3 linked regions of the Sus scrofa genome follow. The protein of the gene in region 2 interacts with the protein of the main gene of each other region in a pairwise test. Links are inferred from orthologs where the notes say so. Each region holds a gene or a part of one and is shown on either strand. Other genes may lie near its edges. The genes, in order: CETN3, POC5 and CETN1.

Region 1 (5,722 bases), about 13 Mb from region 2:
GGGAAAAAACAAATTTTAACATTCAAAGTGCCAGTTGAATATTTTACTAATACACTGTTTCCTATAACAGTATTCAAGTTAAAAAAATTCCATGAACACAGAAATCTAATTAATATTTTACTTTATAGCACAAGAGGCAATTCAGTGTCATGGTTAAAAGTATATTCTTTGTCATTATGGAGAGATGAGTTTAACCTCTGGCTCTGCCATGTATTAGCTTTGTAATAATATCAGACAGGTTATTAAACTCTCAGAGCTTCAGTTTCCTCATCTACACTATGCAAAAATAGGTATATACATTGGTTTCACAAAAGCTATTATGAAAATCAAGTGACATAATCCATAACATGCTATGGGATTAGCATGTGATGCTTAATAACCACAACATGCTATACATAGAATCTAACATACATTAACATTCATCTCAGTTACTCAGAAGATGGTCCACTTTGGCTTTTTAAATGTTACTTCCAGAGTTCCCGTTGTGACTCAGCGGTAACAAGAACCAGACTAGTACCCATGAGGACGGAGGAGTACCCACTGGCCTCGTTCAGTGGGCTAAGGATCTGGCATTGCTGTGAGCTGCCAGGTAGGTAGCAGACACAGCTCGGATCCTGTGTTGCTGTGGCTCAGGCTGGCAGCTACAGCTCCAATTAGACCCATAGCCTGGAAACTTCCATATGCCTCAGGTACAGCCCTAAAAAGACAAAATAAATAAATATATAAATAAATAATGTTACTTCCATTTACTCAAAAAGATTTACTCTGTTTTATATATCTTGGGGGGGGGGATTCTTTCTATATCATTACCATAGCTTTATTTATACTTCATATTGTCTTCTTTTCCTTTAATTCTTCATTCATCACATTTATTATTCTATATATACAATAAAAACACTTTCATTGCTCTGAAAAACTGAACAGTATGAAAAATTCATAAATATAGAACAACTACTAAAGTCCACAAAAAAGGCAGCAAAGTATTATGATTATTAATAGTTTAAAATATACAAAGAAAGAGGTTCTATCTAGGCAAAACTTTGCCTGCAGCCAAAAATAGCAAACAAACAAACAAAAAGATTAAGTGATCAGATTAACATTATGATAAAATCTAACTTGTTACTTTTTCAAAACTGGGCAGATTTGCAGGTAGCTGCAGAGACCCAATATAAGTTAAGGCAGTATTCCTAGTCCCACTAAATAGATTTGAGTTGTAGTTCTCATTGTTTCTGAATATGAAAATGACCTCAGCAATAATTATCAGGACTTGCTACAACAGCTGTCTTCAGTAAATCTTGAGAAGTAGATAATGTCAAACAGGTACTATAAATTTTACACAATAAGTGTATTTATCAATCACAATAGCATTTAGATAAATAACTGAAAAATAACAGCTTAAATATGCATGTACATCAATACTATTATTCATAAGGTCTACAGACAATATTTGATGCATACATGAACTCCCAGCCCTGTGCAATACTTCAGAAGGTCCCCACCCCTAGACACCCACACCCTGTCTTGGAAACTACAAACTTAGGCTATTTTAATATGATATGACCCACTCTCTTCTCCTCCACAAAAACATGTATCTTAACAATAAAAGATTATGTGTCAGGTAGATTTTATTTGTAATCAACCACTAGGGAAAAAAGGAGAAAAAAATGTTATTTGCCTCTTAGTCATTTGAATAAAGGACAGGAGGATTGCCAAGCAATAGTTGTACAGTGACTTAAAGCAGAGTAAGACAAGCAGTGAAGATTGAAGAAATGTTTTAAGGATCCACTAAAATAAAATTTTCTAGCAATGGAGCACAGGTGTGAACTCAGACTCTAAAGCAACAGTAGGTAGAGCAGTCTAACAAGGAATACAAGAAATGGACACATTGTCTAAGCAAACACTCATATCAAGTTTGAATTTAAGAGCAGCTTCCTAATTGATATTTTCTACTAATATCAAATGAAGCTAATAACTAAAATCTGTATTGCATGTGCCTCCTACAGGAAAAAGAAACTTTATAACTCTGATCTTCTGACACGCATAGTAGCTATTATTAAAGATTTAGAAAATAGACATACCATGATTTGCTCTACCACTGAAGAAAGTACTTTTACATAAAGGACTCCTTTAAAGCTAATTTAGGGTAATAATCAACAGCTAGGGAGGATACAAGAATTTTTTAAATATGAAGGCAGTGGATGCAAAGTCCAAATATTAGAATAACAGCTAAATAAATCCTTTAAATTTTCTCAAGTTTTAATCATTTCTGTTTTAAAATATAAGTAACTATATCAGTACTCTTCATAGAGCTAGCATCAGAAAAAGAAATGTTGTATAATGCTTAAATAATAGTCACATAAATATGAGAAAGCACAATAGAGCACAATTCTAATGGACAATCTACAAACCTAAACTGATAACTAGTTGCTACAGTCTTATCTCCTTATTAAAGCATGACAGTATTTTCAAGATAATATAAGTAAAAATATATAGTTAGGACTATATCAACATGTATCTCCTGTAACACACACTCCTGCTTGCTGCTTAAGTCGGCAAACATCAAAGTACTCACCATGTTAAAAAAAAATGAAGACTACAAAGATGGAAAAAAAGGAAAATAAGCTTGTATTTAAAGCTAGGCATCTTCTGGAGTTCCTGTCGTGGCGCAGTGGAAACGAATCTGACTAGGTTTCTATCCTGGCCTCGCTCAGTGGGTTAAAGGTGTGGCCTTGCCGTGAGTTGTGGTGTAGGTCACAGACGCAGCTCGGATCTGGCATTGCTGTGGCTATGGCGTAGACCAGCAGCTACAGCTCCAATTAGACCCCTAGCCTGGGAACCTCCATGTGCTGCAGGTGCAGTCCTAAAAAGACAAAAGACAAAAAATAAATAAATAAATAAATAAAAATAAAGCTAGGTATCTTCAATTATTTTCATTTAATGCCCATAACCATCCTGGAAGGTATTACCATTCTTATTGATATAAATAGGAAAAATGAGACTCAGAAAACTTGCACAAAATTAGGGCAATTAAGTAAGTGGTAGAGATTCAATGCAAATCCAGGTCTGCCTGAGTCCAAAACCTTAGGTCTTTCACATTATATGATTGTCTGCCCTTTACAGGCTCACAATATTACTGGAGAGACACACATGTATATACCTAAGAGAAGGCAGAATATAGAAGTGTCAAAATAGCTTGTTTCTCTAAATGCTATGGGCCCTCAATGGGCTCTCATAATTTTTAAACAGAGATCACTGAGAGAGGATTTTGAGGAAAAAAAAAAAAAAAACAGAGTTTAAAAAGAACCTCAGAATGTACATTTTAGCCAACAAATTGGCAAACAGAACATTCTAGGATTAAAGAATAGCATGAAAGGCAAAACATAAAAAGACAGGATAGAGTGTATTCTGTGACAGTGTGCATACTATATGGAGGCGAGGGTTAAAGTAGAAAGCAGAAAAATAATGTGGGGAATAAAACTAGATACTTATGGTAGGACAGATCACAGAAGGCTTTGGATTTTACTCTGTAGGCACTGAGTAATCATTTTAAGCATTAGAACAGGAAAATGAAATCACTAAAACTGTATTTTAGGGAAAAAAATGCTTTAGAATAAATTAGTAAGAGAGTAGAGGCTTACAGGCATAGAGTGCAGAGCAGGGACAACATAAGCCTTTGTCACTGGGTAGCATCAGTTAACAAACAGAACAGTGTACGCAGCAGGCATTCAAGAAAATAAGAGTTCCTGCCATGGATCAGCAGAAACGAATCTGACTAGTATCTATGAGGACGCAGGTTCAACCCCTGGCCTCAATCAGTGGGTTAAGGATTGTCTGGCATTGCCATGAGCTGTGGTGTAGGTCGCAGACACGGCTCCGATTTCCCATTGCTGTGGCTGTGGCACAGGCCAGCAGTTACAGCTACAACTCAACCCCTAGCCTAGGAATCTCCACATGCTACAGGTGTGGCCCTAAAAAGACACACACACACACAAAAAAAGGAAAAAACAAATGAAACTATGATAACATTCCAACAAAGAAATCAGAGCCTAAGTTAGGACAGCAGCAATAAAGAAATAAAACAGATTCAAAAACTCTGAAAGGTAGATGCAAAGAACTTAGTTACAATTTAGATGCACATGCAGCTTGAGGAAGAAGGTATTAAAGCTGAAATTTTACTGAGTGGCTGAAATTTTGGAGATATTTCATCCTCAAAGAAAAGTACTTTCTTAAAGTATGGAACTTCATATTATAATCTACACAGTAGGTTTTAAAGGTCTGCTTCACTCTAAACTGAGTACGTGTAGTATTTATAGTAGTATTTATACAAAAAGCCCATTACAGGATAAACGACATTTACATTAAATAGTTTGCAAAGAATCTTGAAAATAATTTGGTTTTAGAAAAATTTACTATATGCATATATTAGGAATATTTGGAATATATGTTTTACTTGAAACTTACTTTCTCCATCACCATCTTTATCAAATTCTTCTATCATAGCCCGAAGTTCTTCATCACTCATGTTTTCACCCAATTCTCTGGCAACACGTCGCAAATTCCTCAAGCTTATTTTACCTGAATCATCATCATCAAATAATTTAAATGCCTTCAATATTTCTTCATGTGGATCTCTTTCCAATATCCAGTCTGTCACTATAGTTAAAAAAAGGTGAAAACCAAAACTTTATAGTCACTATAGCACTCATTTGTGAAATCAACTAAGTATTAGATAAGAATTAAAGCTGTGAATGTGTCAATATTTAGTTTGACAATAAAAATGCCATACTGGAGCCCAAAGCTCCAGAGATAAAATTATAAAGACCAAATCAATATATTAAAATTTAACCTTTATATTATTAACAATTTATCCCATTATAAGATAAACATAACTGTATCACAGAAGCAAAAATTTTAAAACTATGTACCATATTTATTTAAGATCTACTATTATCAAGAATTGTACTAGGCTACATTAGCATCAGAAACACAAGCCTAGGAGTTTAGAAATGAGTTGCAGAGATGTTATAAAAATCAAACAATAAAAACCAACTAGGTAAAAGTTGTTTGCTTAATAGTAATATTGGCTGTTCCTCAAATTTAAAAGAAAACACCTGTGACAAATTAACAAAGTAACTACCATCATTGATACAGACACACTCTTAGACAATAGATGAAAATTCCACTGGTATCTTCATGATTAGAAGAACCTCTTGGTTTCCCAAAAGCAGTTATAAAAAGGATTGAATCTGATTGCAGTGGGCGGGGGGGAAAGGTCTGGGAAGGAGACCTCTCTAAAGTCAAAGCGATTTTGTTCAGCAAGATAGTAACTCTCAGACAGCCAAATTAAAATTACACGCAATTTCAGACTTTAATAGTAATAAGTATTTTAATATACTAAATGTAATAGTAAATAAAAATTTAGTAAACTTAAACAATATTTTCATTATTACCACAGTCTTTAATCAACAATCACAATAACAAAAATTTTTAAATCTGTGGTATAAATTTTTTTAAGTTACTAGATAGAATTCTGAAAATAGCAAACATCTCTGAGTTAGTTCTATATGCTAGTCTACCACTACCACAGAAGATATTTATGACCTTCACTGTGCCATTAAAAATAAGTCAGTCCAGAGTTCCCATTGTGGCTCTGCGAAAACAAATCCGACTAGGAACCATGAGGTTGCAGGTTTGATCCCTGGCCTCGCTCAGTGGGTTAAGG
Region 2 (5,722 bases):
GGGGAAGAAGTGGGATGGATGGGGAGTTTGGTGTTTGTAGATACAAACTGCTACATTTAGAAGGGATAAGCAATGAGATTCTGCTGTATAGCACAGGGAACTACATCCAATCTCTTGGGACAGATCATGATGGAGTATAAGAAAGGGATTGTGTATATATATGTATGACTAGTCACTTGGCTATACAGCAGAAATTGGCACAATACTGTAAATCAACTATACAATAATAAAATATTTAAATTAAAAAAGAGAAAAGGGAGTTCCCATCGTGGCGCAGCGGAAACAAATTCAACTAGGAACCATGAGATTTTGGGTTTGATCCCTGGCTTCGCTCAGTGGGTTAAGGATCTGGCGTTGCCATGAGCTGTGGTGTAGGTCACAGACGTGGCCTGGATCCCACATTGCTGTGGCTGTGGTGTAGGCCAGCGGCTACAGCTCTGATTAGAGCCCTAGCCTGGGAACCTCCATATGCTGTGGGCGCGGCCCTGAAAAGACAAAAAAAAAAAAAAAAAAAAAAAAAGAAAAAAGAAAAAAGAAAAAAAGGTTACGTATATGAAAATATAATCATCAGCATTTAAGAAAAACAACCATACATTCTAGAGTTTTGTACATATACACAATGTTCTTATTCACTAAACTCAAGGGCAGAGACCAGTTTTCAAATATCTTTTTAGTCCCTAAATGCCTTTAGTATCTTAGAATAGAAATTTCTCAGTAACTGTTTAATGATTTTCTAGATTCAACAAACTCAAAAAAGCAAATAGTTAATAGTTACACTTTGATGTACTTTTTCAGTTATATTATTCTGTTCTTTAAAAAAAAAAATCTATGAAGACTTTTAAATCCTAAGATAATATTCTTTTTTATAAAGAACTGAGTAACTAAAATATATATCTAAAAATGGTCATATTAAAAAGAGATTTAGTAAATTAGGCATATTTATTGAGAGACATTTATTCTAGTTCTTTAAATAATTTTCAAAAGTGGAAAAGGGCAAAAATTCTAAAACACCAGTAATATTCTATTTCTTAAGCTGTGTGGTAGCACATGGCTGGTTCACTTTGTTTTCAAAAATTGAACTTGTATGTACACTTTTTTTTTGTGGGATATTTTGAAATAAAAACATTAAATTTAAAATATTTAAAAACCTTAGGTCAGGGTTTTGAAAGCAATAGAGAAAATGAATGACATTAGTTTCTATTGTTTCACAAAAGCAAACTGTGTAAAATATTCAATTTTACATTGCCCCCCACAAAGGATATTAAAAACTCCATAATCTTATCTAGTTCATTAACACAATGAGGGCTACAACTGCAGACAAGGAGCTGAGGTGTCTGCTGTGGGTCCCTCTTTTCTGAAAGCTATCATCCTCCTGGGGGAGCTACAGATTTGTTGCCCATCTGCTTTCTTCAAGATGCTCTCCGGGGGCACAAAAATAGCACAGACTTGAAACTACTCTCAAATTCTTAAGAGGCTAACAGAAAATGAAATAAATGCTGAAATAAAGGACATCATGAATGAATAAAGACTTAGTATAGATAGAATGTGGGATATTTATGCCCCTCTAAAAGGATGGTTTAAAATGTAGGTAATGCTGGAGTTCCCATCATGGTTCAGTGGTTAACAAACCTAACTAGTATCCATGAGGATGTGGGTTTGATCCCTGGCCTCGTTCGGTGGGTTAAGGATCTGACATTGCCATGAGCTGTGGTGTAGGTCACAGATGCGGCTTGGATCTGGCATTGCTGTGGCTGCGGTGTAGGCCAGCAGCTACACCTCCAATTCGACCCCTAGCCTGGGAACCTCCATGTGCCTCGGGTGCAGCTCAAAAAAGACAAAAGAAAAAAAAATGTGGTACTGTTGGAAGAAAAGGAAGGAAGGAAGATTGAAAAGAAAAAACTAGTGTTCCCGCATCGAGCATGCACTCAATAAAGTGACATGAGCCTGGCATATTTAATATAAAGAATAAATCTTATTTCTATATATCTATTGGTCCACCAGTTTCTAAAATGATCTACTCTTTGTATCATGTATGATCTAAACAATCAGTTCCTGGTGTTTACTACCTAGCAAGACATTTACTGAATCAGTGAAAAAGCAGTTATGAAAAAGAAGACCTCATCTTTTCTCCCAATGGAAACTTCATAGGCTTTCTGCAGCTCCTTCAAGCTGTTGATCTGGTTGCACAGTTGTTTCACCTCTGCTGCATGTTTTTCTTTCTCTTTTTTCATTTCCATTCGGTGCCAGTCAATAAAATTAAGTCTCCATTTACTTAGTTCAGATATGATGTTTGTCTGAAAAATAAATGTACCGACAATTAAGTTGCTTGTTCCATAATACTGCTTCTTTAAATGACACTGAAGTTAAGAAATATTTTTTAAAAATCAAAACATGCACTCAACATCAGAGCTATTTTAAAAATCCAATAATGAAAACATCTACAAATTCAATAGTCACAGCTCTTCTTAGTTCATGCACCATACTAAGGACATGATTTTTTGCCTATTTTAAGTTACTTTGTAAAAACGGTCCTAAAATCTCAGTGTCATTTAAAAAATTTAGGTCTCATTCATTAATACACATGTCCTTCGTTTATTCAAAGACTTAAATGCCCATCTTAAGGTGGATCAGAAAACAAAGAAATGCAGGACTAGGGCGTCATCTAGATGGAGAAGAGCAGAAACTATTGGAGTTGATACTTTCTTCCTCCAAATCATTTATCACAATGGCCATCTTACAAGTTGCTAAGTTTGATCCCTTTTCACCCTACTGACTGGCCTAAGTAAAAGGGCCAAATAACTGTGCTATCAAAAAACTAGATAACAGTATGTGGTTAACTTGAACACAGGATAATTTTTAAATGGTTGGTGGTACACAATTCCAATAACTTACACCAGGACTAGAAATATGAAACCTGTTCCATGGGGGAAAACAAATAGAAATTGTACTAAAAGATTGGGAGTTCCTGTTGTAGCGCAGCAGAAACAAATCCGACTAGGAACCATGAGATTGCGGGTTCAATCCCTGGCCTCACTCAGTGGGATAAGGATCCGGTGTTGCCATGAGCTACGGTGTAGGCTGCAGACCCAGCTCGGATCCTGTGTTGCTGTGGCTGTGGTATAGGCTGGCTCCTGTAGCTCCGATTCAACCCCAGCCTGGGAACCTCCATGTGCCGCGGGGAAGGCCCTAAAAAGCAAAAAAAAAAAAAAGCAAAAAAAAAAGAAATTATACTAAAAAAAGTACTTCTAGAATTTAAGGTTCCATATAATGGAGAAATATATGTAAATACCACAAAACTCTTTTGACCATAATTTCTCCCTGTGTGCGAATACTCAGTTTTCTCAAACTATGTTTCAGAAAAACTGTTGTTTTCTCTACCATTTTTTAAATAGCAAAAAAACCGCCATTTCTGTAATACTTTGTTTTATTTAGAGGCTACTAAAATCGCCAAAATAAAAATCAGTTTTTATTGATTTATTGGTTATATTCTGTGGTTGCTAGAAGAGTGGCTATAAAGAGAATATATGTTGCTAAAATTGGGTCTGCACTTCCCCTTAGTCAGAGCTGCAATGTGGGAGAGGTTCACAGGTGCCTCTCTCAGTCACACATAGGCCGAGCCTTTGGAAACATCTGAGAAGGTCAGTGGAACATGCAGACCTGTTCCAGCAACTATTTAAAACCCTGCTCTTTAAAGTATGGTTTCTGAACCATCACCTGGGGGCTTGTTAAAAATGCATCATCTTAGGCCATGGCCAAGGCCAGCTGAATAAGAAGCTGCAGTTTAACAGAATCACCAGGTGATTCACTTGGACAGTAACAACTGAGAAGCACAGATTTAATACACTGGACTGAATTTTTTGTTTTTTTAAAAGCTTTTTAATTCAAAGAAAAACAGACTAAATAGTGGAATCAAGAGCAAAACTGCTACACTACATATTAGATTACAATCAAACAAGTGTAATACCTTAAGCCCTGAACTCCAAAGATCAAGCACGTTTTCCATCTTTTGAAGGTTTTCATCAGAAATAAGAAAATCGCTCACAACAATTTCATGGGCATCTATAGGACTAGAATGAGACCCTGGTGAGGAAGAGTCAACTAAAAGATTTGTACTGAAAAAATCCATGACCGGGTGAGGCGGCTTCCTGGGGGATGACACTGGTGATGAGCCTAGAATAAAACAAAAGTTGGAACGGTCAGCTAAAATGAAAATAACCCAAATTGGCAAGAAGTTATATTGGAAGGCTAGAAGATGTCAGTTATCTATGGAGGCTGAGGAAAACATGGAGAAATGGCCTTTCAGTGTCCTTAATCTGGTTATTTTAAACTTTAGTGTTGTCACAGATTTAAAACTCACCTCCCTCCCCCATCCACAAATGACCTGTCTCCAAATAAAGATGGTTTGTATATCTAGGTGTAGCCTGAGTTCAAAGTGTTATCATCCACATCATCATATCAACAGTTACTAAGTGCTTTCTATGTTCCTGTAGTAAAAACACTATAAGATTAGCTCTCATAACACACACTACTCTAAGAAAAAGGTATTATTACCTCCATTTCGCTGATGAGGAAACTGAGGTTTAGAAAGGGTTAAGTAACGGACCAAGGTCAGACTAACTGTACATAGGTCATTACTTTATGCAAAACAATGGGGTGGGTTTTAACTCTACTAACATTCAACACTATAAGAGACTAAAAATTTAGTTCATTAGACAGTTGTAAGGCACTCTGTTAGCCTTCAACATATAGATGAGAAATAGATGCACTTCCACCCTCTGCCCATGAACATGGGAGGTAGGAATGAGAGCCAGAGCCAGAAAGAGAACTGGCATCTATCTTTAAAAACACAAAAATAGAAAAGTTGCTATTTTATCACACATGTACACTGGAATTAGAGACTATTCATCATAATTTCTCATGTATCTCACTTTTGTTATAAGGGCTCTAATAACCAAGACTGAAGGGCTTTCCTCTTTTCCTTACTGAATGAGTCAAAGATAAATCTACTGTAGAATTTACTATTTAAAGGTAAATCTTTCAAGAACACTTTGTAAAGGGAAAACCATTTCTTAATACATGTTTTGCATAAAAATGTATCAACAAATGGTTTGGGCTACTTAGAAAAAAAACATGTTCTGAAGATGGTCTAGGAACCCAAAGACAAATGCAGAATGACGAAGTACATAAATATTCTCTTTTACCACAACTTGATCTGCACTCATGGGAAAAACATAGCTCTTTAATTTAAATATATATTAATATTTTAAAAAATAACAAACTCCTACTAAACTGCACAGGGAACCTAGTCAATATCCTATGATAAGCCATCATGGAAAAGAATATTAAAAAAAAAAGGATGGGAGGTAGGAATGAGAGCCAGAGCCAGAAAGAGAACTGGCATCTATCTTTAAAAACACAAAAATAGAAAAGTTGCTATTTTATCACACATGTACACTGGAATTAGAGACTATTCATCATAATTTCTCACATATATACACATATACATACACACAAATATATGTAAAACAATCATTTTGCTGTGCAGCAGAAATTAACGCAAATTGTAAATAAACAATACTTCAATTTTAAAAAAACAAACAAACAAAAATAGAATCAACTTAAGAACTTAGGAGGTCCCAAGTCTTTTATTTATAAATGAGAAAACTTAAGTATAGAGGCATTTCTTACATGGTGCTTAAATGGCCCCAACATTAAATAACAT
Region 3 (6,124 bases), on a different chromosome or scaffold from region 2:
CTTCAGCCCTGGTTCCTGGTTTTTGCTTCTCTCCTTTGCTGGGCTGGGAGCCAAGACGGAACCCAGTGCAGCTGGCCGAGGCTCTGACCCTCTCTTCTAGTCTCTGCCAACTTTCTTTGTTTCTGGTTTTCCTACCTTGATCCATATGTAGATCCTTGGTCCAAGACTTGGGTCAACAGGATGCCAGGAACTCTTGTTTACCAGAATGCCACCCTCCTCCCCTGGCCCTCAACTCAGGCCTTTCACACGGATGCTGATCCCAGTTGCACCTGTATTCAACTGCACCTGAATCCACAATATCCCCACAATCCACCTGAATCCTTGAACCTGAACTGTTAGCGTTTGCAGCATGGGTGTGTTCCTCTGACCTGTAGCAGCCACCTCAGCAAAATCCTTTCTCACAGTAAATGCCCACATACCCATCACTTCAGCTAGTACTGCTGCTTTGACAAATCAGTCCCTGTTAATGAGAATTAAACCCAGGGTAGTTGTTCCCCTAATTAGATTCCCGACTCTCTGAAGGGTAAAATTGCTGGCAAAGCAAGTGAAAAATTTTCCAGAATTTCAGCATTTATTTTAATGGGACTTTGTATGAAGATTTAATTTAGGCTTAGTTGTGACCAAAATATCTTGTTTAATGGTTTTGTTGTCTATTATCAAACATTTGTGTAGGCCTCCATCTCAGTAGATATATAGTTTTCCCACAATTATATTTAAATTTTCTCCAACTTCATTTTTGTAAATGTGCAAAAGGTGACATATCTTATTTTAAAACAAGAAAGACTTGGAGTTCCCTGGTGGCTTAGTGGGTTAAGGATCTAGTATTGTCACTGCTGTGGCTCAGGGTGCTGCTGTGGCTCAAGTTCACTATCTGTGCTGGGAACTTCCACGTGCTGCAGGCTCAGCCAAACAAACAAAGAACCTAGAAAGGCTTCATTTATAACAGAGGACAAGTAGCATTAAAATGTACACAAGCCACAGTGAGTGAATAGTTTCTTGGGATTATAAAATAAAGAACTATCTCTACGCCAGACACTCTGGCATCGACCATATACAAGAGGTGGGGGAAATTAAGTATCAAGAACCAAAATGTTCTAAGAATTCGAAGGTAGACAGTAGCTTATAATAAAGTAATAATAAAATGACTGACTAAATTACACTATAGTTTAATCTAACAGTTAAACACTAGTTGATCTTTCCAAGGACAGATAAGTAGTTTAAAATGTACTACAGATATATATATATGTATATATAAAATATATACATATATTTTTGTATGTATATATGTATATGTGTGTGTGTGTGTTTTTTTTGGTTTTTTTTGTTTTTTTTTTTTGTTTTTTTTTTGGCAATTCTCCTGGCATGTGGAAGTTCCTGGGCCAGGGATCAAACCTGTGCCACAGCAGCAATCTGAGCCACAGCAGTGACAGCACCATATCCTTAACCTGCTTCACCACAAGAGAACTCCCACAGACGCTTGTTAGTTTCCTAAACTGAAATCTTACATTTGTAAATATTTACTCAAAATCATTAGTTAGTTTAATCTCTTAAGCAAATTATACTTTACTTGGGCCGGTATTAAATTTTGTTTTTATTCTGTAGCCCAAGAATGAATACATTCCAGCCCTGGATAATCCACAGTAGATAACATATACACAAATGGAGAATCGTTTACATGTGATGAAGTCAGAGAATAGTCTCAGTTGCACAATTTACCACCAGCCAAAGGCAAGCCTATCCCTTAGAACAGTATCTTTCCTGAGCGCAGTAAATAGCTGCGATGTTTTCCTTCAAACCAAGATTCAGTTAAGTGAAAAGCAATGGCTAGGATGACCTGCTGACGAATCCACCTCATCCTGCAAGAACAATGACTTGAATTTAAGGAATTACATATGAAGCAAAATAATTTAAGACCACCAAAGAAGCGCCAAGAGAACAGCACTGCTGTTTTGAACCAAGAAGCCACGTTGCCTTCACTTTAATGGATGTCCACCAATGCAGGGCACATGGCCTGGGGACAGGAATTTCAGCACCCTTGATTCAACCGAAACTACTCCAGGTCTGCCCTTGGGAATTACAAACCAAAACTCATGTTAAAAGCATCTTTAAACTTCTGTAATTGAGCTAGATAGAGATTTGGAAGTAGAGCTTTTTAGACAAATTGGGGGTAAGGAGAGAGGCAGTGAAGTCCTCTAAATCAAGGTTTCCCAAAACAGAAGCAGGGAACCCGGCAAGTGTGACTCAACTCTGCACGTGCTTGTCTGAGAAACCAACATTAATAAAGGTTGGTCTTTTTCATGATCCGAAGAAATTCTTCCTCGTTCACTTCGCCGTCTCCATCCCGGTCCGCTTCGTCAATCATTTCCTGAAGCTCCTCATCCGTGAGGTTTTCCCCCAACTCGTTGGCCACGCGTTTTAGATTTTTGAATGAGATCTTGCCAGTTTCATCGTCGTCAAAGAGCCTGAAAGCCTTCAGGATTTCCTCTTTGGTATCCTTCTCGGCCATCTTCTGCGTCATCACGGCCAGGAAGTCATTGAAGCTGATTTTCCCTGTGCCTTCCTTGTCCACCTCCGAGATCATCCTCTTCATCTCCTCCTTTCTGGGTTCAAAGCCCAGCGCTCGCATAGCCACCTTCAGCTCCTTCACGTCGATGGTGCCGCTGCCGTCAGCATCGAAGAGGTCAAACGCTTCGCGAACTTCTTGCTTCTGATCTTCAGTGAGTTCAGGCTTAGGGCCCACCTTTCTTTTCTGGCTGGTGGAGGCCACTTGTGGCTTCTTGAAGCTGGAAGCCATCCTCCGGCGGTGGCGGTGGTTATTTAACGCTTGACCTCACCGCGCTTGCGCTGGGGCGCTCCCGCCTGGAACGCAGGCGCGGGGCCTCCCCTCCTTCAACCCTCGTGCTCTCTCTGGGGGCTTCGAGGTCTGATGCACTTTAACTGCCACAGTCTCCTCCATTACTACCCAAGCTGGCAAGACTTGCTTGTATCCACTATTGTCCTCTATAACTTGTTGGCATTTGTTCTTTCCAGGCCATCTGTCAGCATCCATAGGACAAGGTTAATATGGTTATTTGGAGGTTGTCTTCCTCTCTCCTTTTCCATACAAACTTAAAAAAACCCTCCTGGCCTGAGGTTACCTAAGGGTAAGCTTAGGATCATCAAGACTGAGTTTGATTCCTTGACATAAAATGTGGGGAAGGAGGAAGAGAGTATATTAAAAGTCACACCATGTGTTCAACTTGACATAAATGGAAAACAGATAAAACGGAAAAAGTTATGTAGAAAATTTGTACAAGTGTGTTTCCTGACATTATGCTCAACAGTAATGAAAGTTTCACGAGCTTATTTGGTGTGCACTGAAACATGAGATGTGATATCCACAGGAGAGATTTACTTTCAGTGATTCCATTTTGCATGCTCAGTATAATTGCAGTTGAATAATGGTCATAGTTTCATTCACTAGGCTTTGACTTGGAGAGACAGGCAGGGGCTGAAATACCGCCTTCTGGGTTGGTAGTTTAGAAAACTCTATCAGCGTATAACTCACTGTTTATCATCCAGTTGGGGCTGTGCTGAAAACCACATTCTGATGGCCCTGCTTGGGCAGTGGACACAGGAGGAGGTGATACTGGGCATGCTGGGACTCAAAATTGCCTCCTGAGAACAAAGGGGCAAGAGAAAAACAGGCTTTTCAGGTGAAAAGAAAGAACAAATTCACCAAGTCAGCCCATAAAGGGATTGTGTCTGGAATTGCTCTGTAGATGCTAGGACTCAGTGATTTTTGTTTGAGCGAAGGCTGGACATCTTTAGGGTTTTCCCTTCGCATCAATGAAAAATGAATGTTTCTTTGCACATAATTAAAATATTTTGAATAAACTATTGTTGCTTATGGTGGTAAAAATAAAAAAAGAGTGAACCGCTCCTTTTTTAAATGATTTAAAAAAACACAACAGAAAGCTGACTTTTTTCTAGCATTCTTGCAAAAAAAAAAAAAAATCTCGATTTATCCCTACTTGATCAGTTACAAGTGAGGGCAATTTCAAGAGTTTTAATTGAAGGATTTTTGTATCCTCAGCATCTAGAACAGTGCTTGACATATATTAAGTAGGTTAATAAATATTTGTTGAATAAATAAATGACAGTTAATGATGGGCTTAAAATACTTCTGAATTGCCAAAATAAAACAAACAAAACCCCCAAAAGATTAAAATATGCTAGGAGTGTTTTTTAAAATTAGTGATCAGATATTGTTTACACGACAAGCTTAATTAGCCAGATCTCACTACCTGCCTCGGTCGATATATGACATAATGGACAGAGGGCCTGGGCCCAGGCTTTCTAAAGGTCAAGGAAACTTACTGGGACATTCCTCCAACACCCGCCTTCCCTAACACTTGTCACAAATGGTGTCAACTCGAAGTAGACTTTGGCAAGTATAAATTGACATTGCCTGCCTTCCAACCCTGCAAATCCTCCTGCTTGCTTGCTTTCTTCTTTTCCTTCTTCTTTTTTTTGGCTATGCCGATGGCATACAGAAATTCCCAGGCCAGGGATTGAACCTGTGACACAGCAGCAACCTAAGCCACAGCAGTGACAACTGGTAGGTCCTTAACCCACCAGGCCACCAGGGAAGTCCCAAGCCTCCTTTATCTTAACTGGGTCAAAGAGCTTGGGATCTTATACCAAACTTTATTATCCCTGTGACTTTGAGAAAGTCACTTAACCACCCAGACTTGGTTGAAACATCTGCAAGTAGGCATACTTTGCAGTATGCTTACCGCATAGTAGGAATAGAGCTTCCTATTAGGGCTCCTGAGAGTGTTCAGGGAGCTACCCCAGGGACAGTGACTATAAGAAGCTACTTCAGGGGCCACACAGGGCTGGGTGATTGTTAGCTGAATATGAATTTGTCCCAGACATTGTGCATTTCTTTTGACATCCACTCTTCTACCCAAATGCAAGCCAAACTATGATGTGTTGGGAAAAACTGAAGGATAGAGGCTGCTTTATATAGAGCTACATTTGGGCCAAGCTGAGCTCAAAGCAAAACGGTTGTCATGGTTTCCAGATGTGTGCAATCAGCTGTCACAGCTAAGGGCCACCAGGAGCTCCTTTTGGAGAAAACAGTGCCTTTGGCCGGAGTCAGCTCTCTTAGGGAGTTACTTTGTGTTCATAGTCTGTGATCTGAAAAGAAGAAGGGAAGCTTACATTGATTAGGTGCCTAGCATTGGGCTTGGTCCTCTCATTTAATCCTTGTCATCCTTTTGCAAATGAAAAAAAAAATGAGGCCTGGGAGGGGCTGTCACATATCCAGGGGTGCACAGCCAATAAATGGTGGCTCTGGAATTTAAACCTAGTTGGTTTGGGTCCACTGCTGAGGCTTTGTTCACCACTCCACACTGCCTTCTTTAGTAGTTGAGATTATTACCAAAGTGCAGTGTCACTGGGAAGGTACGATACTAATTTTCTTCCCTTAGCCTAACAACAATTAATCATCTTCCCTAGAAAGATTTAATGAGATTTTGTAGGATCTCAGGCAGGAACCCATTGGGGCTGAGTCACTGAGAGGAGGAGCAATATGCTTGGAATTTACATTCGTTCTTCAATTCTGCTTCACCCCATACCCATTCTGCTGGGAAGCAGTCTGGGCAAAGTGTTTTTGGTTGGCATCAGTCAGAGTCTATATAATGCTTGCAAAATTCAGCTTCATTGCTTTAAAGTCACTTTTCAAGTTTGAAGAAGACCAACATAAAGTAAATGAGGTGTTCTGGAAAATCCATAGTTCTGAGCGGTTTTGTTTGGTTTTGTTCCTGCACTGAACATTTTCTATACCACATTGTCCTAGGTAGTATGCTCAATCAGTTGTTGATTGAAAGGGGGAAGAGGAGAGACGGTTGTTTAAATCTGGTCCTAGGAGCTTAACAGCTGGAAGGGGCTGGGGTTGGGGGGGGGGTGAAGAGGAGCTGGAATTCCACAGCTGGGTCCAGAGTCAGCTGAGAGCAAGCAAAAGGACCCCTGCAGTTTGCTTATTCTAATTATTTGGTTTTCCATTAGACTTACAGTGGCTTGAAAAAGGTGAGGCTTAGGAGCCTTTTAAATTTAAGTTGCACTCAGCAAATTCAGC

What was found.
Region 1: the proteins of POC5 (region 2) and CETN3 interact in binary tests that used the Homo sapiens proteins (3 or more experiments, as listed by UniProt). The link is inferred for Sus scrofa from reciprocal best matches to the Homo sapiens genes POC5 and CETN3.
Region 3: the proteins of POC5 (region 2) and CETN1 interact in binary tests that used the Homo sapiens proteins (3 or more experiments, as listed by UniProt). The link is inferred for Sus scrofa from reciprocal best matches to the Homo sapiens genes POC5 and CETN1.

Annotation. Positions count from the first base shown.
Region 1 is NC_010444.4:97,578,456-97,584,177, forward strand, and holds part of CETN3 (centrin-3), read right to left. Parts: intron 4,654-5,722; coding exon 4,462-4,653; intron 1-4,461. UniProt on the Homo sapiens protein: Plays a fundamental role in microtubule-organizing center structure and function. As a component of the TREX-2 complex, involved in the export of mRNAs to the cytoplasm through the nuclear pores.
Region 2 is NC_010444.4:84,709,750-84,715,471, forward strand, and holds part of POC5 (centrosomal protein POC5), read right to left. Parts: intron 4,171-5,722; coding exon 3,965-4,170; intron 2,295-3,964; coding exon 2,118-2,294; intron 1-2,117. UniProt on the Homo sapiens protein: Essential for the assembly of the distal half of centrioles, required for centriole elongation. Acts as a negative regulator of centriole elongation.
Region 3 is NC_010448.4:105,738,672-105,744,795, forward strand, and holds CETN1 (centrin-1), read right to left. Parts: upstream 3,556-6,124; 5' UTR 2,795-3,555; coding exon 2,276-2,794; 3' UTR 1,517-2,275; downstream 1-1,516. UniProt on the Homo sapiens protein: Plays a fundamental role in microtubule-organizing center structure and function. Plays a role in sperm cilia formation.